Regions from separate parts of the Mus musculus genome. Here regions 1, 2, 4, 5 and 6 are each reported to be linked to region 3. Evidence: microRNA targets listed by miRTarBase, many of them from high-throughput screens and not tested one by one. Region 3 holds a microRNA gene; each other region holds the end of a gene's coding sequence.

Region 1 (5,073 bases), not on the chromosome of region 3:
CACACACACACACACACACACACACACACACACACACATCCTTGGTTATTGTGGAGATAGATGTTTGGCTCAGGGCAGAATTTCTCCTCCATAAGCAAGATGCCCTCTTCTGTCTTTTTTGCACCTCACCCCCACTCCCACCCCCCGCCATTGCCATGAAACCTTCACACAAGTTCATTCCTTTAAAAGTTTATTTCTGATGAATAAAAAAAATAATTTATGTGATTAGATAAATTAATTTATGTGATTAAACATTATGACAAGGGCAGAGCTTCCCTTTCTTGTCTCCTGACAGATGTGGCTGCAGAGGGGCTCGCATGCTATTGCCTCCTGGTGGGCAGTGAGCTGGGTTCCAGGGAGACCAGATAAAACCTAGCCTGTTTCACAGAAAAGTGTCAGCCCTTCTTCATAGTATTGTGAGACTACTGGAAGTTCCCTCCTCGTGCTCATTCCAAATGACCACAACTTAATACATCAAGTGCAAGCTCACCCTGATGGAGCAGTGACGTCAGGCGATTTGTGGAGGATGTCTTTCCTAGCGGAGGCTGCCGACTCAGTGGGAGGGACTCTGGGGTGAGGTGAGATCTGGGCCACCAGCATAGCCCCTAAGACCTTTCTTTGGCTTTTAGGACTCTGAGCACTGTTGCCTCTCAGCCTGTAAGCAACTATTTTCTTCCAGTTCCTTGCAACTTGCTCAGTAACTCAGATGTGTCTGTCTGTGTGCGCGGTCACCGAGTTCGTTTCTTCTAGGTGTCTGAGCAGAGCATACAATCAGTGCTGAGATCTTAAGCTTTAGCTCCCAGAGGCTCTACCTTAGCCCTGGACTGCAAAGCTCGGGGAGATTTGGGGGACCACCTGCCAGAGAGACAAGAGGAAGTGCAGTGGCACCTCTTACCACCTCCACCCTAATTCCTTCATCAGGTTCTGGTTCTGGGGCCGCTTAGGAGGTGGGGATAAATACATGCTTTTAGGTGGTGGGACATTTTGGTTAAAGTCTGTGTGTTGCTGGGAACCAACCCAGGGCCTAGCACTTACGAGGCAAACATTTTAACACTAAGTTACTTCCATTAGCTGTTGGTTTTCTGAGACAGGATCTTGTTACCCAGCCCAGGCTGACCTTAGACTTGGCAATTCTCCTGCCTCCACCTCCCCAGTGCTGGGATTCTAAATGTTCGCCGTCACACCTCGTTACACGGTTTTTAACACTTGGTTTCAGCTGTCCCTACTCTCACCAGCCGGAAGAGAACTCAGACAACAAGCAGATGTGTGTGCTAAGAGGCTTAGAGGGTTTTCTGGACGAAGAGTGTGCGCCAGCAGATCTGTGGTGGCTTAGCCCTGAAAGCCCGTGCACAAACTGAAGCCAGGGCAGCTGCCTCTGGAAATCACCAACGCCAACTGGAGGACTGCCTAGGTCCTAAGTATCAGCTTATGATGACCTTCAAGACCACCTCCCAAACTGGCCAGTGGAAGGGCTACCCAGGGCTGTCTGACCAAACATGGCTTTTGCATCCTGAAAACCAAAAGACCTCTGAAAGGCAGAAGTAAACCAAATGCAATTTCCCAGCCATCAGGCACATCCTACTTTTAACCATCAAACAGGGAAACACAGGACAGGAAGATCAGTGTAAGGATTCAACACCCAATGTTGGCCTCCCTCACGGGACCAGAGGTAGGAGTGCACTCTGCTGCATTCCCAGTCCCCCTCACAGATGAATTCCATGTTCCAGGCCTTGGGCCATGGGCCTTGAAACTACTCCAAACTGCAATTCACTACATCTGCATTCTTTCTCCCTTAGGAGCCAGAAGACCCCTCAGTGCCTCTGGGGACACAAGCAGCAGCATTAAGTAATGCCTGTAGCCCAGCATTTCCGCTGGTTTATGAAATGAGGAGAGATCAGCCAGCCACGAGGACATTCACATACATGGACACAGCATGGGCTAGCAAGGGACAGGTGCGAAGTAGGCCCACGACCATGGAGGAGAGACCTGAGAACGACCTCTTCCCAAGTTCCTAGTGCACATCACCCCAGACAGGAGGACACTGTCCCACTGTCCTGAAACTCCCCTCATGGCCCCTTGCCTTCATTTGTTAGAGGTCTTCTCCTGTGTCCACTTCTGTGAAAGTTTTAAACCACCCTGGGGTAGGGACAGACACTTGGTATCTGTCCTGCCCCTGGAATGTCCAATGTGGCAGGGGACAGGTAGGAGGAGGGGTGAGGGGCTAGCTGCCTGGAAGCATATCCTACAGGAAGAGGGTGAGCCAGCTGCAGGAGAGCCTCTTGTCCTACTGTGTGAGATCACCGTCTTGATCATGAACTTTGGGGTTTGGCTTAATAGTTTTGCATAGTACCCAGCAAAGGCGTGAAGTGGCGCACACCTTTAATCCCAGCGCTTGGGAGGCAGAGGCAGGCAGATTTCTGAGTTCGAGGCCAGCCTGGTCTACAGAGTGAGTTCCAGGACAGCCAGGGCTATACAGAGAAACCCTGTCTGGGAAAAACAAAACAAACAAAAAGAGTTACACTCAACAAGGGTGAGCGAGGCGGTTTGCTTTCCCATGAGCATCAAGGGCTCCCAGCATGGAGGCTCTCCAGCAGCCCTGCTCAGCCTCAGTCCTTCCATGTGTGCCCTGCATTTGCTTTTCATTCACACCGTACTTAGATCCTTCTACCTGTGTGAAAGGGATTCCTTTGTGCAGCATGTGTAAGTCTCTACACATCTGGGAAGGTGTCAGGATTTCATTATGTTTTAGAGCTGTGGCACAGGAGAGTCTGCTCGAGGAGCCTCATCTGGCAAGGTCGAGGGTTGATTCTCTCTTTCCTTTCGGAGGACCAGAGTACCAGTGTTTCTTCTTTGGTAGAAATCTGGATGGAAGTGGTGAGCCCAACATACAATGTGGTACTGGTATCATATCATTAAGGGGGAGAAAGTCTGCCCTCAGCAGCCATTAGCCTTGAAGACCATATGCCTTTTTTCCTTCTCTCTCCTCTTTTGGAGGCAGGGTCTCATGTAGCCAAGGCTTTTCTCTATAATTTACTATGTAGCCAAGGCTGGTCTCTGACTTACTATGTAGCCAAAGATAACCTTGAACTTCTGATCCACCTGCCTCTATCTCCCTGGTGCTGGGATTACAGGCTTGTGGCACCACATCGAGTTTATGTGATGGGACCCAGGGCTTTGTGCATGCTAACCAGGCAAACACTCTACCAACTGAGCTACAGTCTAAGCAAGCCCCTGCTAACTCTTCACGAGTTCATTAACATGCTGGTACTTGGTATCAGGCCCTCCCTCATCCCTCATCTTAGGCAGGGGCTCAACTCAAATGTAAAGTCAGGGATCTCTGATGTTCTCTCCAGAAGAGGGCCCTGAGAGGAAAGGCACGAGGGGAAGGCATCGGGAGGTTGAAAGGGCAGCACCCAGATGATGTACTGTGAAAACACTTCTGTGACAACAAGCAATGCTGTCACACAGGTTCACAATGACCAGAGGGGACATTTAGATTTTAGGATTATTAAGATAAATGGTGGGAAATGCCCCCTTGAGATCAAAGGTCAAAGTTCTAAACAAATAACTTTCCTTCTTGAACTTGGACCCTCTCAAGTGCACAGAAACTGATAATAGGGCTCGAACATGGGAACCTCCTTCCTAAATGCTACCTGACTCTTCCTCCAGGGGGCGCTGCACTGAGATCCATCAGGGACATAGTCTCCATGTGTGTGTCTGCATAAACTGAAACAGCTTTGCTGAGTGAGGAGCCCAGTATTTTATTCCGGCCCCTACCCACCTAACCCTGACCACTTTCCACAACTCTGCCCTTTGGATTATGGAAGGGGGAAAAAAAAATAACTTCCATTTTTCTGGGCCACAGAATACAAGATGGGTGTAGTTGTACAAGGAGCTTACACACTGAGGCGAGAAAAGCGTGCAAACGGGTAGGGGATCTTCTCCCCCGTGGGTGAGTCAGTGCCCCACACTTACACAGACCTCTGTGACTCCAGAGTTCACTTGGGAGTGTTTCTGGCTTTATTAACAGTGTCCAACTCCAGCTGTCTTCTCTCCAGAGAGAGAATCTCTATGTCCATGATACTGATGATTCCTGTGAGCCGTTATTAGCATTGTTCTTTCCCGAGTGTGATTTCACAAAGAGGCCCTGGAGCAGTCTTAGAGGACACGGAGTACAGGTGTCTGAGAACAACGTAATACTGACTTTTCTTTTTTGGTAACAGTCCATGAAATGCGCCCTCTGTCCTGAGATATAGCGAGGCGTGAGGGGAGCTGGAAGAGCTGTGGGTGGGACACTGTACCGTGTGAGACCATGATCATGCAGCTGATAGTGACGGGACTGAGGACTGAGAGAGACAGACTCCGGTGGAGGGCCAGCAGTTTCCAGGAAGTTCCTGGCTCTGGGGGACACCAGTATGTCCAGTTCTTGTTGGGGGAGTAGGAACCACCTCCTGGGGCTCACCAGCATGGGGGGTGTCTTAGCCCTCATCTTCCCTCAGCTCTGTGGGGAGGAATTTGTACTGCTGCTGGCGGATCTGGGCCAGCTTCTTCCTGGCTTCCTCCAGCTCTCGTTCTTTCTTCAGCATTTCCTCCTGGGCTGCAATGATCTGAAAGGAGACAAGAGCGGAACGGAGCTAAAGCTTTTGTGAAGGCCTGTCTTCCACAGCCCCTCTGGTGATGGACGCAGATGAGCGTTCTTTTTTAAAAAACAAAACATGTATTTATGTATGTTGAGGGTATGTGTATGTGCCTTAGCACACATGTGGAGGTCAGAGGACAATATGTAGAAGTCAGTTCTCTGTTTTCAACGTGTGGGTCCTGGGGATTGACCCAGGTCTCCAGGCCCCAGGCCGCGTGCCTTTACCATGAAAGCATCTTTCTTGCTGAGCCGTAATGCTGGCCCGGGAACAGCATTCTTAGCTCTGGAAACTAGCCTACCTCACGGCTTGGTTTTGACACCAATGAGCCAGCTGATTGGGGGGGGGGGGAGCTGACTTCAGGGTAGGAACCTAGTAGCAAACACCTCTGGTATCGATACCAGGCTTGGTGTCTGCACTTGACTTAGACTGTCCC
Region 2 (5,073 bases), not on the chromosome of region 3:
AACGCCCCAGTCGTTCTCTTGCCCGTTCCGACAGTTCTAGGGTTACAGGTGCATGTAACTTTAAATTCTTACAAGGATGCTAGGAACCAACGTGGGCCCCAGTGATTGTACAGCAAGTCCTCTCACCCACTGAATTCTCTCTCCAGCACCTGGCTCTTTCTAATAGCATCTAACTTTATAGCCCAGAGCTTGAACTCAAGTTCCTCTTGCTTCAGCTTCTCAGTTGCTGGATTACACACCTATCTCTAACCAATCCTTCTTTTTTTTTTTTTTTTGGTTTTTTCGAGACAGGGTTTCTCTGTATAGCCCTGGCTGTCCTGGAACTCACTTTGTAGACCAGGCTGGCCTCCAACTCAGAAATCCGCCTGCCTCTGCTTCCCGAGTGCTAGGATTAAAGGCATGCGACACCACGCCCGGCTAACCAATCATTCTTAATGACATCCCTTTGCTTACAAATGTTGTATATATAGTCCTTTTGGGTTTAATGCTGTAGGTATTTCTACACTTCAAGCTCATTTAAAAAATAACTGGGGACAGTGGTACATGTCTGAAGTTGTACTACTCTGGAGTCTGGGATAGGAGGATTGTGAGTTCAAGACTACACTTGGCTACTTAGCAAAAACCAAAAGGGAACTGCATATTTCTTAACATTCAAACATTTGAGAGGATATATTCTATAGTACTAATATCTAGCAGTGATAAGTGGTTATGAAGGATTACAAAGACAGACATTGCACTGAACATACAGTATTCCATTGAATCCTCTTACTTTGCCTAGTGGTAACTTGCCTACTGTGCATGAGGCTCTCTGATCAAATTCAAGTATTGCAAATAAATAAAACTTAATCTCAATGTAACATATATCACTCACTGTTCAGAGACTACAGGCGACATGGTCTACTAATTGCTGTACAAACAGTGGAATTTTTGCCCTTGCTTTCCCTTTGGCTTTGTAAACTGTATCACTAATCTCATTTTCTTACGTTACTTCATTACTCATCTTCTGAAAAGCTACATCTTCTGAACATTACTTATCCTCAGTAGTAGAAAAGTATCTCTGCCTCAGTGAAGAGTCTTACCCACCTACCTTTTCTCCTGTAGGCATCAGTGTGGAATTTTTAGAGTCTTTAGCTAGCCAGGTCAGTGAGAAACTCTGTCTCAAAAAAACAAACCAAAACACCAAAGTATGGTTCCTGAGGAACAGCACTCAAAGTTGATTTTTTGTGCACCCATACAAGTGCCCATCCATCCATTATGCTGGGCATGGTGACACTTGCCTTTAATCACAGCACTAGGAAGGGAGAGACATGGAATCTCTGTGAGCTCAAAACCAGTCCAGACATTAGTGAGTTTCAGAATGTTGAGAGCTACATAAAGACACCCTGCCTCAAAAACAAGTAAACTCAAACACAAATACCCATAATGAGTACCACATCTAAACCGCTTTAAACCTCAGTACACTTCATTTCACTTCACTGTCTCTGCCTTCTGAGCACTGGGATTAAAGGTGTACACCACCGGCGTCTGGCTAGGATCTCATCATTTCACCTGTTTATAATAAAATACACACAAAAAGGTTTGGATTTTCATTTCATTTGGAAAAAAACTATCTAGAAATAAAATATTTTAATAATGTACAAGTTTCATTATGTATGTTTCTCCAAGTATTGCAAATATAAGAAATCCAAGTTAGGGCTGGGCACGTAGCTCAGTTGGCAGAGTGCTAGCCTAGATGCATGGATCCTTGGGCTCAGGCCTCAGCACTGAACTAGGCATGGTGGAACAGGCCAGCAATCTCCACGCTGAGGCGGTAGAAGCAGGAAAAGCAGACGTTCAAGATCATCCATGGCTACACATGGAGTGTGAAGCCAGTCCAGGATACACGAAAGCTTGTCTCCAAAACAAAACCAACCAAAAAAGAAGACACATAACACAAGCTACCTAAGTTTTTTAAAATCCAAGGCCTTTAATTCAAGCTTTGGGTAATGACCATAAATGCCTCCACAAACCCTCTTTTCCACTGTAAAGAGAAGGCACTAGGCATTACAGAACACCCTAAGCACTGATTCCTTCTAATGCTGGTGGAGATAACACATTAAACAAACCGCAGGGTTTGAATACTAAACTCCTTAAAAACAATGAAAGAGCCTAGCGGTGGTAGCACACGCCTTTAATCCCAGCACTCGGGAGGCAGAGGCAGGTGGATTTCTGAGTTGGAGGCCAGCCTGGTCTACAGAGTGAGTTGCAGGACAGCCAGGGCTACACAGAGAAACCCTGTCTCGAAAAAAAAAAAAAACAAAAAACAAAAACAATGAAAGAGACAATTCTGAAATTCTAAAACTGACATAAAAATTTAAGTTAACCATTCAGTCTTCCTTGGGTTTCCAATGCATAATTTGAAATTAAGAGATAAAGTAGGTGAATATGATTTGGTTTTCACCATGTGTTGAGTTTCTGTTATATGTGGTAAACATAAAGACAGCATTATCATGCTAATTGATATTTCATGTTTTTCTTTAGGTGTGCAAAATAAACTTCAAATGATATATCCTGTAGAAGTATATTTCAAAAATCCTTGATATAATACTAATGACTTTCATATTCATGTCACAAACTGTATATAAATTGTGAAATTATTAAAATACATTTTTTTGAAAAATAATAAGATGACCATTTCTACCTAAATAAAGTTTCCCAGAAAGTTATGAAGTACTTTAGCATATAAAAGTAGTTGCCCCTTTTCTGAAAGGTCAGTATTGTTTCACAAAATAAATTTTCAATCAATCAATCCAGACAAATGATTTCATTCAAATGCCATATTCTTCCTAGGACAGTGGTATGCTTCAAGAGACTGTATCCATGAGTAAGGAAGGGGCACCCTAGATATGAGACCACAGTCACACACACAGAGAAACCTTCTTGGATCAGGAATGCCCTTGAAAATAACAGCAAAAGAATAAGAGATGGCTTCTGAAGCCACCGTGTGGCTGCTCAGAAGGGCAGGTACTTAAGTCACAGCTATTTACACATGTGCTGCTTTGTGTGTGCCTATCTGAACAGTGGCTTCTGCAACACTCCCATCTGAAACCAAACTATCTCATTCTACTTTTGGCAAGGTAGTACAAACAAAATGAAAACAAACAAACAAAAGTGTAATGCTGATTTACACAAAAGGTCCCATGTCAAACAACAACAGGAAAAGTCTTCTAAAAATCATCCACTAGGGGAAATAGTGTCACCCAACAAATAACGTTAAAAGGTAAATGTAAAACTCTCAAATAATTATTACATGAATGGCTTATCTTTGACATAAAAATATTCTTTTAAAAAACAACTATGATGTTCATTGTGAGAATGTCTTCAAAAGACATTCAAGCTACCTAGTGTATGCAGGCCAGTGAGTAAAAGAGAGAGGAGAAATCAGCTCTTCCATAGCCAGAACTGCATGTGCCTCCTTCCTCGGAGACACACCTAAGTTGTGAAAATGGTAGAGAGTTGTGACATGAAAACCTACATGATAATTTAAAACAACAGGCAATAAACATGAGGGGCAACAAGAAATACTTTTGGGCAAGTGATTACTTGACATAATGCCTTTGAAATTATGTATCATAATTAAAAAAGAAAAAGCCTTACAATTAGCAGCTGGACCCTGTGAAACATATAGGACAATGGAAGGCACTACATAAGCCTCAGTTATATCTAACTATAGTTGGAAAGTTCAGTTTTTCCTTCTTAAGAAGACAGCCAGTGTGAACATTATTCTTCTATTCCCCTGAGTTCAACATGATTGGGCAAAGCAGCACCAATTTAAAAAAATATCTGCAATGCCGGCACTGCAGTTTGGAGTCACTTACACTGATGGCCCCATAGGTCTCTCATAAGAGCACTTTAGAACGTGATTAAAAATATGGAAATGTCTTTCGGTATTTCAGCATTGTGGAACCACCACAGAACGCACTACAAATGTCTGTGTGTCCGCTCAGCCTTTCCAGCTGTATCTAGCAATTGCTGCTTATTTCCGTGCTGTGCCCCTGAGCTTGCTCAGTGTGCGTCTAGATGAATGTCAGTATGCTTCCTGCTTCACAGTCCTTTCTGGCTGGAAAACCTGACAAGTGTTATGTCATGCCGGTCTTGAGCAGTATGCCTTGCAGGTCGTCTGGTAAGGCCAGGATAATTGCATCTATATGTGTCCGTAACTTCTCCACAGTGTCAGGCTTCACAGGTAAGCTCTCTCGGCCAGCCTGCAACTACATAAGGAACGGTTTTAGTGAATCTGTGTGAATATATTGTCTTTGCTACATAAACACCTTTTTTTAGAATGATCACTTGGAAGTTTAGGTCTCAGCCTAGAATTTACAGAAACTAAAATTGTAGAGAACATCAAGTGGGGGAGGGGTGTAAAGAGACCTTAATAAAGGCCATTCTATACACTCATAGATGAGGCCAAAGGATAGTGTGTGCCATAAAATCTAGGTAAGACAATGGTTTCAGAGAGTTCAGGAGATTCTGTTTTAAATCTCTTTGAGGGGCTAGAGAGTTCAGCAGTTAAGGGCACTGGCTACACTTGTGGAAAACCTGGGTTCAGGTCCTAGTGTATACATGGCTTCACCCTGCCAATGGAGGGGGTGCCATTTTCTGGCTTCTGCAGACACTGCATGCATATGGTGCACTTACTAAGAGCAGGCCATACATTTATACTCATAAAATAATTTTTAAAATTGTTTAAATGTCTTTCAAATAATTTAGAATCATTTGATCTATTTGAATGAGCAAAATTTCTAGTGAGATCTACCATCAACTGGCCAATCTCAAATGTTCTCATTTAAAAAACGACTTCTGTAGTACACAACAGAGTAAGAGTCAGCTCAGATGAGAAAATATTTTCCCAGAAAGGTCCATTTTCTATCCTCATCTCTTTAGTTACATACCAACTTATTTTTCAGCTTCAACACAAGGTCCACTGTTTCTACTTCTGTGTGTTTCTGGATCCAGAGAAGGAGGTCCTACAACAGTAAGAAAATTCTCAGTTGGTACAGCCTCGGAGCCTCTCTGTTCCAGCCAGCGAGTCCA
Region 3 (5,073 bases):
CTTCTGGAACGTCTTTGCCTATGACCTGCTGGGTGCCGATATCCCCCCTCCACCTTGACCTGCTCCCTAGGGCCATGTGGCTAGAGCCAGGCACCAGGTGGGCCTGCATGTCTGCCCTATATGAATGGACCTCTCGGCTGCTTTTCCCCACAGGGGCAGGGGGGCCCTGTGATCCCCCACCCCCAGCTGAAGCCAAGTCTTACTGCAGCCCTTGCTGCACCCCCCCCCCCCAGGCTTTCCAGGGGGAGGGGTGTTACTGGGCCAGGGCTGGGTGGAGGACCTTGAGCGTGGCCCTAGAGGAGACCCCTTCCCTCCCCACTGACCCCAGGACTTGCAGTCTGAGCCTTTTTGGAGAATGAATAAATATTTTACACAGCACCAGGTAGCTGTCCTGGGGCTCTGCAGGCTTGTCTGCCCCCTCACCCAAGCTGTATGAGACACCTCCCCTCCAGGACGGTCTGTGCTCCCTCTCTCCCTTCAAGCTCTGCACCTGACTTGAGGTGGTAGCTTTACTCCTGGCCATGGCCGGAATCCACAGGAGGTGGGGCCCCTGGGAAGAAACTGTGGACTTCCAGGTCAGTCCAAGTTCAGCAATCGTTTATTGTGCTACAAGAGCTTCCAATCTCCTGTTCTTTCAGCCTCCCTTCCAAACGCAAGCCCACAACAGAGCTAGGTTCACTTGGCCTGGGTCCTGTAATTCTTGGCAGGTCCTTGTGGGAGGCCCAGTCAGGGTGAAGGTCAGGCAGCAGGTCTGGGCATACATCTGCCCCCCAAGTTTGCACAAGACGAAGAGTCTACAACTCTAAGACACTCACTAGTGAGGTCCACAAGGGTTCTGGGGTCAAGTTACTAACCACCAGAACCATGATGGGGCCCTGGATGACCTCTCAGGCCCCGCTCAGCCCCGCTCAGAAAGGCAGTGAACTCTTGCACCTGGGCTAGAAACAGCAAGTAGTGCTTGAGTGTGTACTGGAGGGTTAGCAAGCTAGGAACTGTAGCCACCGCCTCTTCGTATATGAAAGCTGCAACCCCAGAAACCTCTGCCTCCAGGACCACTGCAAAGAGTGACAAGGAGGTTCTGGGGATAGCTTTTTTTGAGCTCCTAGAGCCCCCACCCAACTTGGGCAAAGATGCTACCTACTCACTCGAGGCAGTGGCAGAAACCACGCAGCGAAGTTTGACTGCGGCGCCCAGATCAGCAGAAAGCCGAGTTCTGCTTCTCCAAGTCCGGGGTTGGGGGTGTTAGCGGCCAACAGCTGATGCAGCAGCGGCTAGAAATGCCTCAACGACAGACCATGGGGTCAAAGGGTCTTGGTGCAGGCGCTCTCCAAGGAAACCAGCCGGCTCCGCCCTTGAAGAAGCTCCTCCCCATGACCGCGAGAAGGGCAAGAGTCCAGCCGTGCACCCGCAGCTACTTCTATAGCAACCGCAGAAGGTCCTTCGGTGTCAGCGTGTCACGTGCTTGTTTCTCAGCCATTAATGGCCGCAGGCAGCTCCTCCCGATTCCCGAGGAAGCCCCTCGAGAGCGGTCTGATCTGCGGGCCTCTCTTCTACCCTCAATTCCGCCTTCCTACCGGCGGTCCAGACGTTCCCAGGCTGTCGCGTGAGCCCGTGTGTGCCCTGGTGGTGCGCTAGGACCCGGGCCTAGTGACCGGCCCTCGGAAGGCCACTTCTCAATGACCGCTGCCACGTTCGCCCAGCTTGGGGCCGGAGGGCGGGGCTTGAGCGCCGATGGGCGGAGCCTTGGTCTGAGCAGGGTAGGTCTCGGTTACTGTAGGGCGGGGCCTGTAGAGCGCGGCGGAAGCTTCTCAGAGCTAAGGGAACTGGCTCAATCCACGAGGCTCCGCCTTTGCTCACGTGTCCCCATGCCAGCTCCGCCCCACACCGGAAGTTCCGGTGGCGGATCGCCGACCGGGCGGAGCTGATCGCTGCGCGGGCTGCGAGATCTAGGTGGCCGGGCGCGGAGCCCAAGCCGTGCCGCGCGGCGCCATGAAGGGCAAGGAGGAAAAGGAGGGCGGCGCGCGGCTGGGCACTGGTGGCGGCGGCAGCCCTGATAAGAGCCCGAGTGCGCAAGAGCTCAAGGAGCAGGGAAACCGGCTCTTCGTGGGCCGCAAGTACCCGGAGGCGGCGGCCTGCTACGGCCGCGCCATCGTGAGTGCGGGAGGGGCGGGGGCGGGGCCCGATGTGCCTCCCAGTTTTGTGATCCCGGACAGGGTTTCTGGCAGCCTGGACTCGATGGCTCGCTCGCTCCCCTGGTGCCCGGATTGCTGTTCCCGAGTCTAGGGCTGATTTGACTGGGAACTGGCGGGCGGGATGCTTGATTAAGTAAGACTAAGGATGACACCAGGAGCTCTTGCCCCTTGAGATTTCCAAGCCCAGAGCTTGTAGAGGGGTTGTGGGATTTCTCTCAAAAGCAGTTGGAGGCAAGAAAGCATGGCCAGAATCCAGAGCTCTTGATAATTCGGAAATCTCCAGTTCCTCTATTCCAGCCATGGGCCCCCAAAGCTGGAGCATTGACCAGATCATTGGCTTTCAGCTTGCTAAATGAGAGGGGATCAACTGAGCCCACACTCTTTGACGCCTGGTCTTGGTCCCCAGACTCGGAACCCACTTGTGGCAGTGTACTACACTAACCGGGCCCTGTGCTATCTGAAGATGCAGCAGCCTGAACAGGCACTTGCTGACTGCCGGCGAGCCCTGGAGCTGGACGGGCAGTCTGTGAAGGCGCACTTCTTCCTGGGGCAGTGCCAGCTGGAGATGGAGAGTTATGATGAGGCCATTGCCAATCTGCAGCGAGGTGGGCTGACAAGATGCAAGGTTGAGGGCACCTTGGGGGACCAGGATTGTTGACAAGTGTAACCAAAAGTGTCCACTCCCCTAGCCTATAGTTTGGCCAAGGAGCAGCGACTCAACTTTGGGGATGATATTCCTAGTGCCCTTCGCATTGCTAAGAAGAAGCGCTGGAACAGTATCGAGGAACGGCGCATCCACCAGGAGAGTGAGCTGCATTCATATCTCACCAGGCTCATTGCTGCTGAGCGAGAGAGGTGGGTCCCTCCCCCAGCAGACACTGAGTCACCAGCACAAGTGTTTTTATTGAAGGACAACAACCGGTACATGGGAAGCCCAGGAGGAAAGAGGCCTGAGATGGGGCGGGCTCTGTGATTTCCTGGTCAGGGCCATCACCAACTAGCTTCTGGTTAACCCTCAGGGAACTGGAGGAGTGTCAGCGGAACCACGAGGGTCATGAAGATGATGGCCACATCCGGGCCCAGCAGGCCTGCATTGAGGCCAAGCACGTGAGGGTGCCCCTAGTCCACATGTGGGTCATTGTGTGTGTGTTTGTGTGTGGCATGAAAAGTGCCCCAGCCTTTGGTGGATCTGTTGGCCCATGCATGACATGAGTGCCCTGGTGGACAGAGTGTGTGTGTCTGTGTGGAGACAGGAGTTGCCCACACATGGCACTCAACTCTGCAGGATAAATACATGGCAGATATGGATGAGCTCTTCTCTCAGGTGGACGAGAAAAGAAAGGTGAGGACCCCCGGAAGCTCATCGGCTGCTGCTGGTATGGTGACCCCCACAGCCCCCTCCAGTTCTAGACATTTTCCCCTTGTGCTATAGAAGCGAGATATCCCTGACTACTTGTGTGGCAAGATTAGCTTTGAGCTGATGCGGGAACCCTGCATTACACCCAGTGGTATCACCTATGACCGCAAGGACATTGAGGAGCACCTGCAGGTAAGGAGGGCCCATGGAGACCGGGCCATGGAGAGCCTTGGTACCCGGATCGGTATACTCAGGCCATTGAACACTCTTGACTCTGTTGCAGCGTGTGGGCCACTTTGACCCTGTGACCCGGAGCCCTCTGACCCAGGAACAGCTCATCCCCAACTTGGCCATGAAGGAAGTCATTGACGCTTTCATCTCTGAGAACGGCTGGGTAGAGGACTATTGAGGCCCCATGTCCTGCCTGGCACCCTGGCCCAGGAGGATCTGGAGACGGAAGCTCCAGTCCCTGTATAGTTTGTGTCCCTGGGCCTGCCCCCATCGGCCCTGCTGATGGGTTCTGAACTGCTCCCCTTCTCAGCATACCCCTTGCTGGACCATGAGCCTCCCTTGTCCCCCTTCTGGGCTGGAGAGTGGGTGAGGGTGGGCTGAGGTTGCTGCTGCTGCCACTGTCCTGTAATAAAGTCTGTGAGCACTACATTGGCATGTGCTGGTGCAGTGGGCTTGCCAGTTGCCTGTCTGGCTAGCCAAGGAAGGTAGAAATGAAGACACTGGTGTCCAGATTGAGTGTGGCATGCCACCACCGATCAGGAAAATACAGTACCTGGGAGAAAAGAAAAAAAAAATTTTGATTCATGGCTTTTTGAGTTAGCCCAACCCCCACCTACCAGCTACTGACTTCACCAGCCTGGATGGTACATTCTAGAGGCCGTGCTGACAGGGCTAGAGATGGGTATATTTCCAGCAGCCAGGCCAATGTGGTCTTGTTAGGGTGGAACTCAGGTGTCTTCTCAGGAGGGTAGAGGAACCAGCGCTGGAGGCAGGAGTGTAAGGTCACTATGTGTGCAATGGACTATAGACACCAGATTTACACACACACATAACACACACATAACACTGTACTGACCTTCCGACCATAGATAACCTCTGAGAAACCAGGCCCATGCCAGTGGAAGGGTACCCCAGATCCAGCTCCTGTGGGGTCAGTTATGAATAGCTGATGAACAAAATATATATGGGCTCCCCCAAGTTTGTTTTGAAGTAGCCCCTACCTGCAATTCCAAAGCTGTAAGCAGGGGTGGTTCCCAGGAGACGGAATGGTGGCGGAGAGTAGTGCTGGAAGAGGGATGCCCACTCAGTGAAGTTGTTGTCTCCAAAAAAGTACAGGGTGTCTGCCAGCAGAGAGGGTGATAGGCAGGAGTACTGGCAACAGTGGGCTCCCAAGTACCCCACTCCCACCGCTGCCTGGGTCTGGCTCACCATTGCCTAGGGATGCAGGATCCTGGGGCTGCAGCAGCTGTTCCACATATTCCTGGAAGGGCAGGTCCACTACAAGAAGGGGGA
Region 4 (5,070 bases), not on the chromosome of region 3:
TTTGAAATAAAAGTATATTTATTAAAGAACACACAACGCATGTACATGTGTGTTTATATATACATGGATGTAGCGTACACATCTGTGCGTGCGTGATTTTTTTGTTTGGCGGCTTTGTTTAAATATTTGTAGGCAAAGTGCTTCCCTCAGACAGATGCGCGGCGTCCTTACAGATGTTTGTTGGATGAGTTGACTGGTTGTGACTCAGAGTCTCTGAAGTTCAGAAGCTCTCTCCCCCTCCTCAGAGACAGTGTCTTACGATTGTAGTAGTTCTGGCTGAGAGAGAATTTGCTATGTAGACCAAACTGGCCTCCAACTCAGAGATCCTTCTGCCCCTCCTGGGATTAAATGTGTGGCTGGCACGCTGATGACAAAGCCTTTCTTCTCTTAACAAATGAGTGAGGATTTTTTTGCCTTTCTTTTGTCCTTACCTTCTTTACCTAACCCAAGTGTAAAGCCCTGTGCTTTTCTCAGTGATGGGTGCGTCTGTCTGTCTGTCTGCCTGCCTGCTTATTCAGTTGTGAGCTGATACCCAAGGCATGTGGCTGTGCTGATACAGGGGAGGTTCAGCCATCTTACAGGTTTAGCTCCCTTACAGGTTTCAGCAGCTGAGTTCTACCGGCTCAGCCAGCCATGGGCTTAATTCACTCATCTAATCCAAATGTGTTTTGCCATCCTAGGTTTACCGACAAGACTGCGAGACTTTCGGGATGGTGGTGAAAATGCTGATTGAAAAAGATCCCTCATTAGAAAAGTCTGTCCAGTTTGCACTGAGGCAGAACTTACACGAGATAGGTGAGCGCTGCGTGGAAGAGCTCAAGCGTTTCATTACTGAGTATGACAACTCTGCTCAGGACTTTGGAGACCCCTTTTAGAAGAAGAAGTACCCAGGTCAAAAGGTTTTCTTAGATTGTTTTTTTCTCCTTGGATTGTGTAAATCCTTACTATTTTGTGATGAAGAGAAATACTTTATGATAGCTAAGCACATTTCTAGTACTAAATAAACATCTACAATAGCTTAAAGTATCTTAATTAGAATGTTTCCCCTATGTGTAGAATATTCTACTCTATCTTCATACATTTCCTCCCTCCAAAAATAATATTCAGTTACTTTAATGTTCAAAAGAAAAAAGCAGCTCTGGAGAGCAGCTCCCTGTATTTAACCCATGTTTCATAGTCTTCCATGACGTCTATGGTCATCTTTTTGCATACCGTGTAAAGGTTGTCTTTTTTATTTTGTTTTGTGTTTTTTGTCTTTTTGTTCTTTTTTTTCGAGACAGGGTTTCTCTGTGTATCCCTGGCTGTCCTGGAACCCACTCTGTAGACCAGGCTGGCCTCTAACTCAGAAATCCGCCTGCCTCTGCCTCCCAAGTGCTGGGATTAAAGGCGTGCGCCACCACTGCTGTATTCAGATGTTGATTTCCAGCTGAATACTCTTTGGTATTGTTATTTGAATTGCTAAGCACCTTCATTGTAGTTTGTAAACTCTCCTCTCCACCACCTTCTGATTGGTAAACACTGAGGGCCTGTAGGTCAGGAAAGGAAAGGCAGGGCAGGGCAGGGCATCACAAAAGGAAGTCTGACTTTCAGGGACTGAAAGATAACGGGCCATGTGGCAAACATGGACCAAAATAAATGGATTAGTTAAGCCATAGGAGCTAGTTGGGAAGAAGCCTAAGATATAAGGCCTTGGCATTCATAAATAATAAAAAGTCTCTGTGTTATTGTTGGGAGTCAGGGGTCGAAACAGTCTAACAGTAGTGATCATTTGGTCTCAGGAGTTTAATTTGTAGTTAAGATCATTCCAGATTGCATACAATTAGTGGTACCGTTAGCATTTTGAGTTGGTGATGTCAAAATATGCTGTCTTAATGAGTTAGAACTTTGCTATCATTCAATATTTGCTTTGAGAATAATTCTTATTCAATATACAAAAAAATGCACTTGAAAATCTGTAAGGATCTGTTAGAACAAAATCTTCTCCCAAGTCAGTAAACTTGGTTCATCTCTTCTATGAAGTGCTCTTAAGGCTTCTACCTGCTCTCTCTAGACAATATTATGGACTAACAGGAGAGGTAATCTGAGATGCAAGATGAATATTAAGTTGAGATGGTCTCAGAAACCCATCTCATGGGTATAATAAAAAAATTAGAATATACAGAGCACTTAAGTTATGTTTTAGGCCCACATTATATCAAAAACGGGACCTGACATGGCACTCATGCTTGGGATTAAGCTATAGATTACTCTGTCCATCTCCGTGATCTCAGTTCTGTGGGCGTAGAGGGGCTCACTGCTCACAAGTGTCCTCAGAACACACTGAGGCCAGCACAGCTGCCAGCAGGTCCTGAGTGAGCCACTGAATCAGTGAAGAGACACTTAGGATCTCTTGCTCACTTCCTGGTCCCTGGTTCACTGAGGCAAAATACTAAATTTGTGACATTAGGCACCTTAAAAAAAATCACTGCCCAATCAAATTATCTACCTTTTTTTGGGGGGGGGCGAGGGGGGTCAGGGTCTTACAGTATAGTCCTAGCTAGCCTGAAAATCTCTGTGTAGACTAGGATAGCCTTAAACTCACAGACATCTCCCCACCCCTACCTCTTACATGCTGGCGTTAAGCCCACGGGCCACCCTGCTCAGCATCCTTTTGTTTGTTTTCATTTTCATTTTTTTTCTGTCCTTATTACTTTTTGATTCGAGACAGGGTTTTGCTGTGTGTCCTAGGCTGGCTTCAAACTTAACTGCTCTGGCCTTTAGCTTTCGGGATTCCTGCCTCAGCTTTCCTGAGCCCCAATGCTTGCCGTGACCATTGAGTGGCCTCTATGATCCTGTCTGCGGATATCCCTAAACCACATACAGATTATACTTAAGTAGAAATAGAAGAATGGTTAATTTTAATGAGCCCTAAAATAGATGTGTGAAGATTTGTATTATGCCATTTTGAAAATTTAAAACTAATTGACGACATGTTTTTTGTTTTGTTTGTTTTCTTAAATTCCCCAAGTGAGAACACTTGTACGTTTTGGCATTGAGTCTTTCCATCCCTTTTCTGCGCACACTCCCCTTCTGAGCGTGTGCTGCGCAATGCCGGTCACTTCAGTAATACCACAAGCGATTTTCCTTCTTCCCTTCCACTAATTCTCAGCTCTTTAAATCAAGTTATTAACAAGCATACGTATAAAATTTGAGGAGCTTCCAAGGCAAAAAAAAAAAATGTTCACTTGGTAGAAACATTCATTTAAAAAGAGAATCTTACTGATAAATTATTTAAGTGAAGGCCCAGCCAGTCATCCTCTTCCTTCCACTCACACTGGGCCTTCGAAGCTGTGTCCAGCTTGCCGTCCGCGCTGTTCTGCCAGGCTCCACAGTGTTAAATGTTTCCTTCATCTTTGTTTTTTTTTAAATGCCTTTTGACATCTAAAATTCATGTGTACTAGAGTATGTTTTATAAAATGTTTTTGATTCTACGGAGACATGTTTGTAAGTTATCCATTGTTTTTCAATAGACCTGATTCATATGATAAGTTCTCATTGCCTCACCATAAGGCCTTGATGATCAATATGGGGAAAGCAGATACTGTAAATGCAAAATAAAGCATCCGATACTAAGTAATAAATTCGTCTCCTCTCGTTTTTCCTGGTTCCTGTGACTGAAGTGTAAGCGTTTTCATCTGTGCCTGCACGATGACTCTAGCAGTCAGCTCACCACTCGACAGCCAGGTAGAAGTCGGAGGATCGAGGCGCTGTTAACTTGGACGGTTTCTGGAATTTTGATGTTACAGAAGCCAGTCCTCATAGTGCCTGGCCCAGTGACACTAAGTAATTACAGAGCTGAACTTACGAGGCTGAATGTCTTCTTCCTGAGCTGTCATCACTCCTGCACAGCAGTAACCGGGCTCTCTGTACCAGTCTGGTTCACAGCTTGGCATGCTATAGGTATTGGTGCTTGTCAGCCTAAAGCTGACTTCACCTTCAAGTGAAACTTGAGAAATAGGATTCATTCAGACTGAGAGGTGTGAGGAGCTCAGAAGGAAAGGTTGGTATGTCCCTTTGTGGCCAAAGTCAGTTTTCACTGCTGTGATAGGATTTCTCTTTTTAATCTTGATTTTAGGCATGTGGGCCCTCAGCTACTGGGCTCCACCATTTTTGGATCTGTGGTAAAGCGTGCCTTCATGGTGGGGAACTTGTAGCAGAGCAGAATTGCTCCATATATAGCATAGAGCCCGGGGGAGGGGGGGGGGTGAAGTAGACACCTGTGGGCCTCTTCCTTCTCCTCTGGATACCACACCCAGGGAGTGTCTTCCCCCTTGATGTCACCTTTTGAGAAAGAGCTTCAGACATCCAGAAGTGTGCCTTTCTAATAATCATCTCGGTGCTTCTCAGTCCAGTAAAGTTGATGGTAATAATCGGGATGTTCCGTGCAATGGAAAGTGTGAAGGAAACAGGACCGGAGGGCTCAAGCTGAAGACCCAGAATTCGGAGCTCTGCCTGTGTGCTCACACTCACAGGGAAGGGACGGAAGGGGACAGTCTCTCAGTGTTGGGGAGACCTTGAAACCCAAATCTCCGAATAAAGTGTTTGATGTCCCCCAACCAAGAACAGAAAAGGTCTTTCAAGAAAACCTACCCTTCTTGCCCTTTTTCCTGCTTTGCTTGTCTACATTTGGGTATACATTATCTCCAGAGATCGCTTGTCATCTCACAGGTGTCTGTGCAGCAGACCTCCTTCATGTGGATTAGCTTGCATTAATAATACAGAGTCAGTTTCCTTATGTTTTCCTGTGTACATAGGTTAATCTCATCCATCTCCCATTACTCCCTGTGGTCCTATTTCTCCTGATCCTCTTTTTTTTTTTTTTTAAAGATTTATATATTTATTTTATGTATATGAGTACACTGTAGCTGTACAGATTGTGAGCCTTCATGTGGTTGTTGGAAATTGAATTTAGGACCTCTATTTGCTCCAGTCAGCCCTGCTTGCTCTGGTCAACCCTGCTCGCTCGGTCCCTGCTTGCTGCAGCTCAAAGATTGATTTATTATTATAAGTACACTGTTGCTGGCTTCAGAC
Region 5 (5,073 bases), not on the chromosome of region 3:
AGGCTGGCCTCGAACTCAGAAATCCGCCTGCCTCTGCCTCCCAAGTGCTGGGATTAAAGGCTCTGTAAGAATCTTAATTAGTATGCAATGGCTTTCCAAAGGGCAAAGAATAAAGTACAAAAGCCTGGAGGTGGTGGTAAATTCCTTTAATTCAGTACCCTGGAGGCAGCGGGGGTGGGGGTGGGGTGGTGGTGTGTGTGTGAGATCCAAGTTCAAGGCCCAGGATGGCCAGGGCTACACAGAGAAACCCTGTCTCCAGAAACCAAAACAAAAGACTAAAGCACGCATGGTGTGATGCACTGGTTGTACCTTTATTATTTTTACCTCGTTCACTAGCAGTTCTGTGATGCAAGGTTACCATACACAGTTAGATAATGTCTGCATTACACATCTAGGGCTATACAGCAAAAGAATCAGGATTAGTACAAATACAAGAACTGTATTTACATTTTGTATACTCAAGCTCCAAACATTAGATATTTACAAAATAAAACATGAAAATGAAATCCAAAATTAATAATGTACATTGTTGCTTGTGCTCAACTCCTTCCCTGGGGAGAGATCAGTTTGCAAAGTCTTGGTTCAAAAAGGCCACTTATGCTTCATGGATTCTGTTATAGCATGGGGATGGTGACAGGAGACGCCACTCTCAACAGACAAGTATGTCAGAGCCACAAAGTCTACGACAATGCTTAAACATGAGGAGGCTGGTGGGTCCCTTCGGTGAATTGATGTCAGAATACACAGCATGAAAAGAATCAGTTAAGGACATGACAACATAGAACATCCAGGGTTTGGCACAAGACCAACCTCTGCCTGGACTTTGTCTGAGCAGCTATCTACCGTGAGGCTTTCTGTCTGATCTCAGAACCGGGACTGAACCAATGGCATCACATATAGTTGCCAAGTGCCCTACCACTAACCAACACCCCTAACCTCTGGCTGTGAGTTTTTAACACCGGTTCTGTATCAACTCTTAATTTCTTTCTTAAATTTCTTTTTTAAGTAATTAGGGGCTCTCTTAAATTTTTTTTTTTAAAGAGCTCAAATATCTACTTCATAAATGGCCTTTTGAACAGTAACAGCAATAATCTCTCGGCTGACGATCTCTGACTTGCTCCACGGTCGTGGTCTTACTCACTCTTGGTGGATCACAGGCAGTACACAGTGCCAGAGGTCACTCAAAAGCATTCAGCAGACCTTCCAAGAGCAGCAACACAATCATTCTTTTCTTCTCACAGAGCAAGTTAAAGATTACATTTTCCAAAAGGAACCCAAATGAAAAGTGATGGACCCACGCTAAACAAACCACACCCCCCTGGTATTGTTCAGGAAAGTCAAAGCACAGCAACCTAGAGTCCCAGCAGGAGCCACACAGGGCAGAGCCTTCCCCTTTCAGTCCAATGTGCAATTCATTACAGTTGTATAAATATACAAATACCTTACAAAATTAAATATCCCTGTAAATTAGACAAGAAGCAGCAGGTAACAAAGTCTATGCTTTGAAATATGTGCCAGGAAAAATCATGTTTTAGACCCCAAACACCTTTCACAACCATTCATTCCTTCATCTAAACAAGATAAAAAAAAAAAAAACCTGAAAAATTGATAGATATACAAATTCCACATAGCTGAAGAGAAAAAAAAATAATGGTTTCTTAGCTGAAGAACCTTCAGCTCTCACCTCATCAAGTTTCTCATTTATGGACTGGAGATCAGGGCCTGCTCAGAAGCAGTCTGGCCTGTGCTCCCACCTCGCCTTGTGCAGGGACTGCCTGGTCCCTGACAGTCTGGGACTGAGAGCTGACTGACTCCCAGGGTCGTCTCCCAGAAGCAGGCGAGGCCTGAGCACTGGCGGGGGACAGTTATGAGGCTATATCTGCTTGGGAGGAAGGAGGATAAAGACATAAAGGAAGGGGGAGACTAATTCATTTTAACCAGCACTCACTTTTCTGTAATTTGTATGTTTTCCTTGTAGGTTTTTTGTTTGTTTGTTTGTTTGTTTGTTTAAAGGAGTGCTTTGAAAATTTAAAAAAAAATCTTAAAAATACTTATTTTAAAGATTAGTTCTCTTAACTTTCCTGCTACTATGGCAATCACAAAAATCTCATGAACAGGTCCTGCCATAAAACCCTTTCTCTTTCAGAGCTTCGGAGCAGGTGACCTTGTCTGGAAACAGAATATAAAGCCCCCAAATGCTCCGATTCTGACCTGATCCTGGGCTTTACAGTAGGAGGGGTCCCAGTGACAGCAGGGAGAGGCACAGGTGCCCAAGCTCCAACCTTACTTTCCCTGGCTTTCTAATGAGGTCTCCTTAAGGGGCCTCTGATGAAGGCGGGGTCCAGTTTGGCTCATGCTAACATTTGATATTTGCAAAGCAAAGACTTTCTAAACCAGTTTTGTTTGAGTTAAAAGAAAACAAGTTATCTCAGGGTTTAGTGTGCCGCACACTGCCACCCTCCCCCAGGCGTCACACCTCTCGGCACAGACATGGATCCTTCTGCCTACCTTCCTAACAGCAGCAACATCAGTGATTCAGTTTAAAAGCGACCTTTGATCTTCGTTTCCCTGAAATTAGATTTAGTTCCGGTCCAGGAAACTGTCTACAGGCATAGACAGAGTCTGCTGAATTTGAGTATACACCAGAAGGACATGCTGTGTCCATTAGACAACAGAGACTTCTAACTACATTAAAAATCTCATAGATATGTTTAGAAAACAAGTAACATTACAGTTAGTAACCTATACTTTAAGGAGAGAAAGAAAGTTTTAAAAATCCACCAGAGCTGAGCATCTTTTAGATAAGAACAGTCTGATTTCTGCCTTTTCCTTTCTTTTCTTTTGCTTTCTTTCCTTTCCTTTCCTTTTCTCCATGGTCCACTTTTCCTTTCTTTGCAAGGCAACTGTAACAAAGGAAGCTGGGAGTCCTGTTCTTCAGAGAGAAGCAAGGGGCTGCATGCTCGCCTCCCTAGTGGCTGCTCTGCAGTGGAGATGGGCTCTCCACCAGAAGGAAATCCATTCCTTCTCTACCCTCAGGTAGCCAGGAGCCTTCGCAGACTGGAGGTGAGCAGATGCCTTCCTGTGTGCGTGAGTGATGCTGAAACAGGCTGGCAAGGCCAGGAAACAGCAGTGTGAATGCTCCCCAAGTCACTGGCACAGCAACTCAAGTAGCCCCAGCGGGCATTCTGTGCCCCACTCAGTCCCCGACACTTACTGGCCGGTGGAGGAAGAGCGTTATTTTCTATAACCTCTTAAACCCGGAGGCCTGGTTTGTTAGAAGCCACAGAAACTGGTAGCAGGGAAATTCTTCCTAAGGGAGTATTTCCAAACCAGATGAGGACAGTGGGGGAAGGGGGCATGTCACAGAGGAGGCATTTCACAATCCAGTAGCAAACTGCTGGGAGACAATCTTTTTCGACTCTAAATGCCTTCTGATTTGTTTGGAGTGGTGGTAAGGACTGGTCAGTTCTGGCATCCAGAAAACAATGCCATGTTTGTTCATATGGAGACGAGAACTACTGGAAATGGCCACTGGATTTAGATGGAGACCTCAAGATTTATGCTGAAGCTACAAGTCTTTGATCAAAGGGAGCGACAACAATCACAAGCTGCACTCAGCACTCTCAAAGCAACAATGGTCCATATCACCAGAAAGTCAAACACTCCCCAGTCCCTCTTGTGGGAAATCTGTTCATGACATCACCTAATTCCAAACAGTGACACTGAGACTAGAGTTGGGAAACTCCTAGACAAACGCTCCTTCCCAGGGAGGAGACAAGCCTGCTGGACCCTGCTGTAAGGAGCTACAGTCACCCTTGTGACCCACTGCCCAATCTACTGCAGCAGCCCGAGTCTTAAAGGGCTAGCAGCAGCCTCTGTTGCAGGCCAATCACAAGGCCCCTCTGCATCTTCCACTCTATACATCCATGCTCCGAGCCCTGATTTAGACAGAGAATTTAAATCCCATTTCTGAGCTTCCCACAGTGCTTTCCCTGAATGGAAACACATGGATTAGCCACCAAAGAGAAAGAGAAAGAGAGACAGAGACAGACAGACACACACACACACACATACAGAGAAAGAGAGAGAGTCAGAGACAGACACAGAGAGAGACAGACAGACACCAGACACACACACAAATAGACAGAGACAGACACTGAGAGAAAAAGAGACAGAGAGAGAGAGAGAGAGAGAAGAGAGAGAGAGAGGAAGAGAGAGAGAGAGAGAGAAACAAGTTAACAAGTTTTCTTCTCCTGGCTGACAATACCAAATGTCTCCTCCCTTAGTCTCTAAACCACCCAGAAAAAAGAAGATTATCATAAACAAAGGGGAAAGAAAAAGAGAGACAGAGAAGTTACCCTGAAAACCAGAGCTACGGAGACAACAGTCGGACAGTGACCGTGAAGGGGACCTAACATCCAAAGGAAGCTGAAGCACACAGGAGAATCATTTGGAGATGTGCTGGGTCCCCTCGGGTGTGGGTGAGTGTGAGTGTGAGTGTGTATGGACGTGTAGTGGTTTTGTTCCCCTTGTTAGGCCACATGCTACAAGTCTTAGCACAAGAATAAGAAGAGTCAGAGCCATGGAGAGGGAACAGAGAGCTAGAGAAGTGCAGGGTGAGGAGGGAAAAGTCGTTAAGCCACAGGATTACATACAAGAATAACTGTCAAGAATCACAAAGAGAATGAGAGGTAACACTTTCTTTATCTGTCGAAGGTGAGCAAGGCTCAGGAGAACGCTCAGTACTTTGGCTGGCTCGGGCATCTGCGAGAGAGTTTTGACCTATGAGAAAAACAGGAGGCAGCGTTAGAAGAGTGGATGCTGGTCTCTCCCAGCCGATTCTGCAGGCCAGGCTTCTACGCTCCTAAACAAATGGCTGGACCAGCAGTTCTCAACTCGAGACCCCTTTGGGGGTTGAATACCCTTTTCACAGGGGTCGCAGAGCAGATAGCCTGCAGAGCACATATGGACATTATGACTCCTAACAGTAGCCCAGGGACAGCTATGAGGTCTTTCCTACGCTGGGGACTCTGTGAGATGCGCTCCTCTCACACAGCCTGAACTATGGGAGTC
Region 6 (5,073 bases), not on the chromosome of region 3:
TCTCCAGACTTCTTCTTAACACTGCTTGCACTTGAGAACATGGTAGAGCTGCTTCTCAGGTTACATTGGTCAACTGAAGACCTGCCCATGCCTATTGCCCAGTGGTTCTCAACCTGTGGGTGTCAACTCCTTTAGGGTCAAATGAACCTTTCACAGGAATTGCATATCAGATATTTACATTACAATTCATAACACTAGTAAAAATTACAGTTATAAAGTAGCAATGAAAATAATTTGGTGGTTGAGGCTCACCACAACATGAGGTATTTAATGGTTTGCAGTTTTAAGAATTTTGAAGATCACTGCTGCTCTCAATGTTGCCCACATAAGACACTTAGGGTGACAGCTCTCTTAAGGACATGTTTTTGTGGTGGCTTTGGGGACAGGAAACCAGGAATGTAATGTGCTTGGATTAGGCTTTAGCTATGACCTAAGCAGGGTGCCTCCACTCAGCCACCCATGTGGCAGATAGAGAGCCTATGCCATGGGTGTTGGAGTTTGCAACAGGACAAGATAGCTTGAATACAGAAGGAGGTGGTCTCTAGAACTACATGGGGGGACTCTGGCCTAATGTGGCCCTGCTACCTTGTGTGTGAAAACCATTTTCCTCAATGAGGCCACATATAAATTTAACTGATGGCCTCTTGCTGCTGCTAGCCTGGAGCCTGGAGCACAAGGGTAGCTGCTGGCAGCATGAACCAGGACTCCCTCCCCGCAGAGGGCTTGTTTTCCAGCTCTGCCTTAGGGAGAGACCTCGACCAGGAAGACAGATGTAATACTGACTGCATCGTGTTAAGATGTGTGATCTTATTCTAGGAAACATAAATTATGTTTTGTATTATATGCCTAAGAGCCCACATTAAGTCTTCTGATTAATTTGCCAGGTTTTTAATGTGTTTTCAGAAAGCTGTGTGAAATTTCATCTACAAATAAAAATGATGTAAATAAGACTTTGCTGTCTAAATTATGGCTGTTAAAGATATGAAATGTTTTGTACTTTGATTATTTTTATTTCTTACACTTTTCTTTTATATTGATAACTTGCTCACAGTTAAATAAATGTACTTTTGAACTTAGAATTGGGTGATTATTTAAAATTTCATATTCTTTGCATAACATAAATGATTTTCAACAAGCTGGATAGCATTTTGATAAATTTCACAGCAGAGTATTTTTGAAGTAACTTTTCTCCTGGAGAAATAAGTTTTGATAGTATTTCATAAATAGTCACCTCTTACTGATATGGCAAGGGGGCTCCAGACAGGTGGACTGGAAGCCTGGACAGCCACTAAATGCAAACTGTGAGCCTGTTCCCAGCCTGGGCAGAGCCTACCCTACTGTACTGATGTTGTACTCCAAAGCATGGTGGGGACAGTGCTCTGTTCTACGGGAAGGCCCGGTGTCTTTTGCCTACATGTTTCCTGGCTAGCCCTGATCTCTGGTGACTTTGCATAGGACTGTTACTATCTGCAGAAACATCCTTCTGTTGGACATTCCTTGTGGCAGGTGTGTCTTCACAGGCTGCTTTGGAGAGGCTGTCTAAGCAACCTGAGAGACTTCCTACAGAGCTGGCCTTTATCTGGTTGAAGTTGTCACTATGAAATACTTCCAAATGTGGAAATTGGGGTGAGCAGAAGAAGAGCTCTGTACGTGGGGACAGTCGGATTTGCCAGCATGCCACATGCCATCCTGTGTCCTTGATCCTAGAACAAAGTGGATGTAGATTCAATAGCCTTCTCTGTGGAATGTCACACATCTGTTACCTGTGCAGGAGACAGGATGTTTCTTTAAGAGAGATATGACTGATTTTTTTTTTTTTCTGGTTTTTCGAGACAGGGTTTCTCTGTGTAGCTCTGGCTGTCCTGGAACTCACTTTGTAGACCAGGCTGGCCTCGAACTCAGAAATCCACCTGCCTCTGCCTCTCAAGTGCTGGGATTAAAGGCGTGGGCCACCACGCCCAGCTTGATTTTTTTTTTTATTTATGTGTATGAGTACTCTGTTGCTGTCTTCAGACACTCCAGAAGAGGGCATCCAATTCCAATTCCATTACAGATGGTAATGAGCCACCATGTGGTTGCTGGGAATTGAACTCAGGACCTCTGGAAGAGCAGTCAGCGCTCTTCCAGCCCTTGATTAACCTTTCAATTAGCATCTTCTGTAAGCTGCCAAGAAATGCAACTTGAGGAGCTGTCCAGAACCACAGCTTACACAGCTGTTCCACCCGAGGTTGGCTGGGAGGGCAAGGTGACAAACAAATGCTGGTTATGAAGTAAATCAGAAAGGTGGTGGTTTCAAAAATGGTGCACATCTGGAGTGCCAACAGTCGAATGCTGAGATACAGTGTTCTACATGGCAGACCCTGGGCTATCCAGGGCTACATGGGTGAGATCCTGTCTCAAAAAGTAAATAATTATATTTTGCCCACATTGTTTAAAATACAGTTAACTCTTTTCTGGTAATTGTATCTGTTTTTAATTAATGTTTTATAACATCAAAGTTTCAGTCTCTGACCCCTAGGTACATGTTAGTGCTCAGCTGGTTACGTTTGATGGTGAACAGTCATCATGAATACATCACTTGTAGTCCTGTGATTTGCAACACTGGCCAGAGGTAGTAGGTGGAAGGTTAGTGGCAGGACTCAGGGGGTGTGTTCAAACCATTACAGAATGGTTTCATTGTTTCCTGAAGTTAAAGGGGAGTGACCTGTGCGGTTTTGGTTTGGTTTGGGAGGAAAGAGTGCCTTGGCACTCTTTGATAGTCTTTAAAGATCTGGTAGTCTTTAGTCTTGGAGTCTGGAGTGTCAGGAACCATCACCACACACCATCAGTGGGTTTTCAACAAAGTGCTTAAGTTGCATAGGAAAGTTTCTAGTAGAAGCTGCACAGCTTGCTTCCTTTAAACATTTTTACTGGAAATTGGAACACAGTTCATCAGAAGGTATCTGTCCTGGGCACCTTCTGAGAGTGCTGTTTCACTCCACAAAGCATTTGTGTAATAATAAAAAAAAAAAATCAGTATTAAAGTCCTGATGCTGAGAGTCTAAAGTGAGCCTGTTCTCACAATTTCTGTCCCCCACCCCAGGTTCAGACCCCTTCTCATGCTTCACAATGGCTGCTGTGTCCCTGGTGCCATAGACACAAGCAGCTTCAACTCTTGTTTTTCTCAAAAACAGGTCAAAGAAAGTGACTGTGTGCCAGAGCACATGTACACGCTGGGGCAACCTGGAGATGATGGAGGAGCTGGCTCTTCTGCTCTGTGGGTCCCAGAGAGGAAACTCAGGCCGTCCCTTCTTTTACTTCTTTATCTTACAGGCTGGCCTCAGGCTTGCTCTGCCCCAGAGGATAATCCCGAGTCTGGTCCTCCCTGCCTCCATCTGATGCTAGAGCTGCGTCAATGTCTCTTACTTGCCAGCGCTCTGTGGTCCTAGGGATTGACCGCAGGACTTGATGCATGGCCAGCAAACACCCCAGCAATCACATCCCCAGCTCTCCTGTTTGCTTGCTTCTTGTCCTTGCTCACTGTACTGCAGACCTGTTCCCAGTGTACACTCGCCCACTGCCAACAGCTGCCTCCCCTCCATCTGTTTTAGCAGGATTTTGATCGTCCACACCAGTCTTCCCCCTGGTTAGTTGATGAGCAGTTTCCTCGAAATAAGGTTGTGCTTGTGTAGTCAGGCTAGAAAGAAAACACGAGTTGTGTCCTTGAGTCAAATCTCACTTGCGACACACCCTGTCCACCCTTGCCAGCCACTCTTCTGCCTCTGGCTAATCCTAAATCAGAATGCTCAGTTCCTATGTGTCAGGCTTTTCTAGGTACTGAGTCGTGTGCACCTTTCCCCCCACTTTCCTGCTGCTTGTTTTCTGTGCCCTTTCTGGTAGGCTGTCATGGACCCTGGCAGGCTTATGGTTGCCTTTTGGGCTTGCCTGTTGTAATCTGGTTTCTTGTCTGCTTTGGAAAAGCCTACGAGAGAGGCTTGATGCTCTATGGGAGGAAGACTAGTTTGAAGGAATGTCTGGTTTATTCATAGAATTGATGACTGCCACATGCTATCAGTGGCATATGGACACATGGGCAGAGTGAAGGCTAAGTCCTTGAAGTGGTGAGTTTATTCTGGGCTAATCAGGTGATCCAGTAGAACCCCATATGCCCTGAGAAAGGGGCCCAAGAGATGAGAAGAGAGGGTTTAGCCTGTGTTAATATCTGGATGCTGTACTGAGAGCCACACAACACCTTCACCCCACAGAGGTGGCACACAGCAGAGGCAGGCAGCTGGAGTATGAGGATCTACAAGTTTGAGGAATGGTGGCCAGAGTAAACAGAAGACAATTGTCCCCTGGCATCTCTGCAGACTGTGGACCTCTGCGGTTTCTTTTGTTGTTTTTGTTTCTTTTAAGACAGGAACTCAACTGTGTAGCCCAGGTTGGCCTCAAGCTTGTGATCCTCTTACTCCAGCTTCCCAAGTGCTAGAGAGTTAAAGGCATGCATTACCATGCTGAGGGATGACCTCTTAGTTTCTGTCTAGTAAGACCCAGCCTTCTGATTACAGAAATGTAAGAGAATGGGGTTTTTATTTCAAGCCACTGCCTTCACTGTTAACAGTTCCCAGGAGTAACAGAAGGATGTGGGTAAAATTGTTAAAGTCTGCTCTATGTTTCTGGCAGATGTGTGCATGCCTCTGCATTGCCCAAGAACACTAGATTCATGAATGAAAAGACACACACACACCCTTTATGTTTTAAACTAGCCCAGTGGCTGGGCCAATCCTGAACCTCCACATGGCTAACACACTCTGTGCTGAGTCCTCACCCAGCTCCTTAGATGGGGACTGTAGTCAGCAAGGGAGTTTTGGTAACTGGGTTGTATGGGGCCTAGTTTATTTTAGTCTGGTTCTATCCTTTGTTTTTGCTTTTCCTATAGCATCTTTCCACTTTCTAGCTATGCAGACAAGGCTGGCTTTGAACTCCTGAACATCCTTTTTTTTTTTTTTTTTTTTTGTTTCCTGAGTGCTACACATGTGCTCTAACTGGGGCCTCAAGAAGAGAAGATAGCATATGGAAAGATAGCCATGTAAT

What was found. The annotated mature microRNA mmu-miR-3082-5p reads GACAGAGUGUGUGUGUCUGUGU and lies in region 3 at 3,416-3,437, shown strand. An mRNA with a match to its seed (bases 2 to 7 or 8) in the 3' UTR can be bound and repressed. Matches are read on the target gene's strand: a 7mer-m8 pairs with bases 2 to 8, a 7mer-A1 pairs with bases 2 to 7 and ends in A, and an 8mer does both.
Region 1: the mRNA of Tln2 is a reported target of mmu-miR-3082-5p. Seed matches in the 3' UTR shown: 7mer-A1 at 2,472-2,478 and 8mer at 2,441-2,448.
Region 2: miRTarBase lists Dennd6a as a target of mmu-miR-3082-5p. Seed matches in the 3' UTR shown: 8mer at 2,232-2,239.
Region 4: the mRNA of Pphln1 is a reported target of mmu-miR-3082-5p. Seed matches in the 3' UTR shown: 8mer at 1,316-1,323 and 7mer-m8 at 2,246-2,252.
Region 5: the mRNA of Kif1b is a reported target of mmu-miR-3082-5p. Seed matches in the 3' UTR shown: 7mer-A1 at 4,072-4,078 and 7mer-m8 at 2,616-2,622.
Region 6: the mRNA of Paxip1 is a reported target of mmu-miR-3082-5p. Seed matches in the 3' UTR shown: 7mer-A1 at 1,643-1,649 and 7mer-m8 at 1,995-2,001.

Annotation. Positions count from the first base shown.
Region 1 is chr9:67,216,912-67,221,984 of GRCm38, forward strand. Tln2 (talin 2) reads right to left here. Exons shown (of 58, transcript NM_001081242.2): 58 at 174-4,607. The coding sequence ends at 4,479. Among named protein-coding and RNA genes, the nearest start is that of Mir190a, 17 kb to the right of the region's middle.
Region 2 is chr14:26,628,605-26,633,677 of GRCm38, reverse strand. Dennd6a (DENN/MADD domain containing 6A) reads right to left here. Exons shown (of 20, transcript NM_001134465.2): 19 at 4,932-5,006; 20 at 1-4,250. The coding sequence ends at 4,119. Among named protein-coding and RNA genes, the nearest start is that of Arf4, 7.0 kb to the left of the region's middle.
Region 3 is chr17:25,829,770-25,834,842 of GRCm38, reverse strand. Mir3082 (microRNA 3082) reads left to right here and starts at 3,415; the gene lies at 3,415-3,478. It overlaps Jmjd8 (jumonji domain containing 8), which reads right to left. Exons shown (of 9, transcript NM_028101.5): 5 at 4,990-5,058; 6 at 4,782-4,901; 7 at 4,637-4,704; 8 at 4,409-4,543; 9 at 3,000-4,333. The coding sequence ends at 4,253. It overlaps Stub1 (STIP1 homology and U-Box containing protein 1), which reads left to right and starts at 1,924. Exons shown (of 7, transcript NM_019719.4): 1 at 1,924-2,151; 2 at 2,599-2,797; 3 at 2,882-3,047; 4 at 3,212-3,299; 5 at 3,478-3,534; 6 at 3,625-3,741; 7 at 3,833-4,209. The coding sequence starts at 1,990. The coding sequence ends at 3,958. Rhbdl1 (rhomboid like 1) reads left to right here. Exons shown (of 8, transcript NM_144816.1): 8 at 1-378. The coding sequence ends at 58.
Region 4 is chr15:93,488,294-93,493,363 of GRCm38, forward strand. It overlaps Pphln1 (periphilin 1), which reads left to right. Exons shown (of 9, transcript NM_175363.4): 9 at 681-3,620. The coding sequence ends at 875. Among named protein-coding and RNA genes, the nearest start is that of Pphln1, 92 kb to the left of the region's middle.
Region 5 is chr4:149,176,029-149,181,101 of GRCm38, forward strand. It overlaps Kif1b (kinesin family member 1B), which reads right to left. Exons shown (of 49, transcript NM_001290995.1): 49 at 291-4,782. The coding sequence ends at 4,740. Among named protein-coding and RNA genes, the nearest start is that of Pgd, 12 kb to the left of the region's middle.
Region 6 is chr5:27,738,052-27,743,124 of GRCm38, reverse strand. Paxip1 (PAX interacting (with transcription-activation domain) protein 1) reads left to right here. Exons shown (of 21, transcript NM_018878.3): 21 at 622-3,045. The coding sequence ends at 637. Among named protein-coding and RNA genes, the nearest start is that of Paxip1, 51 kb to the left of the region's middle.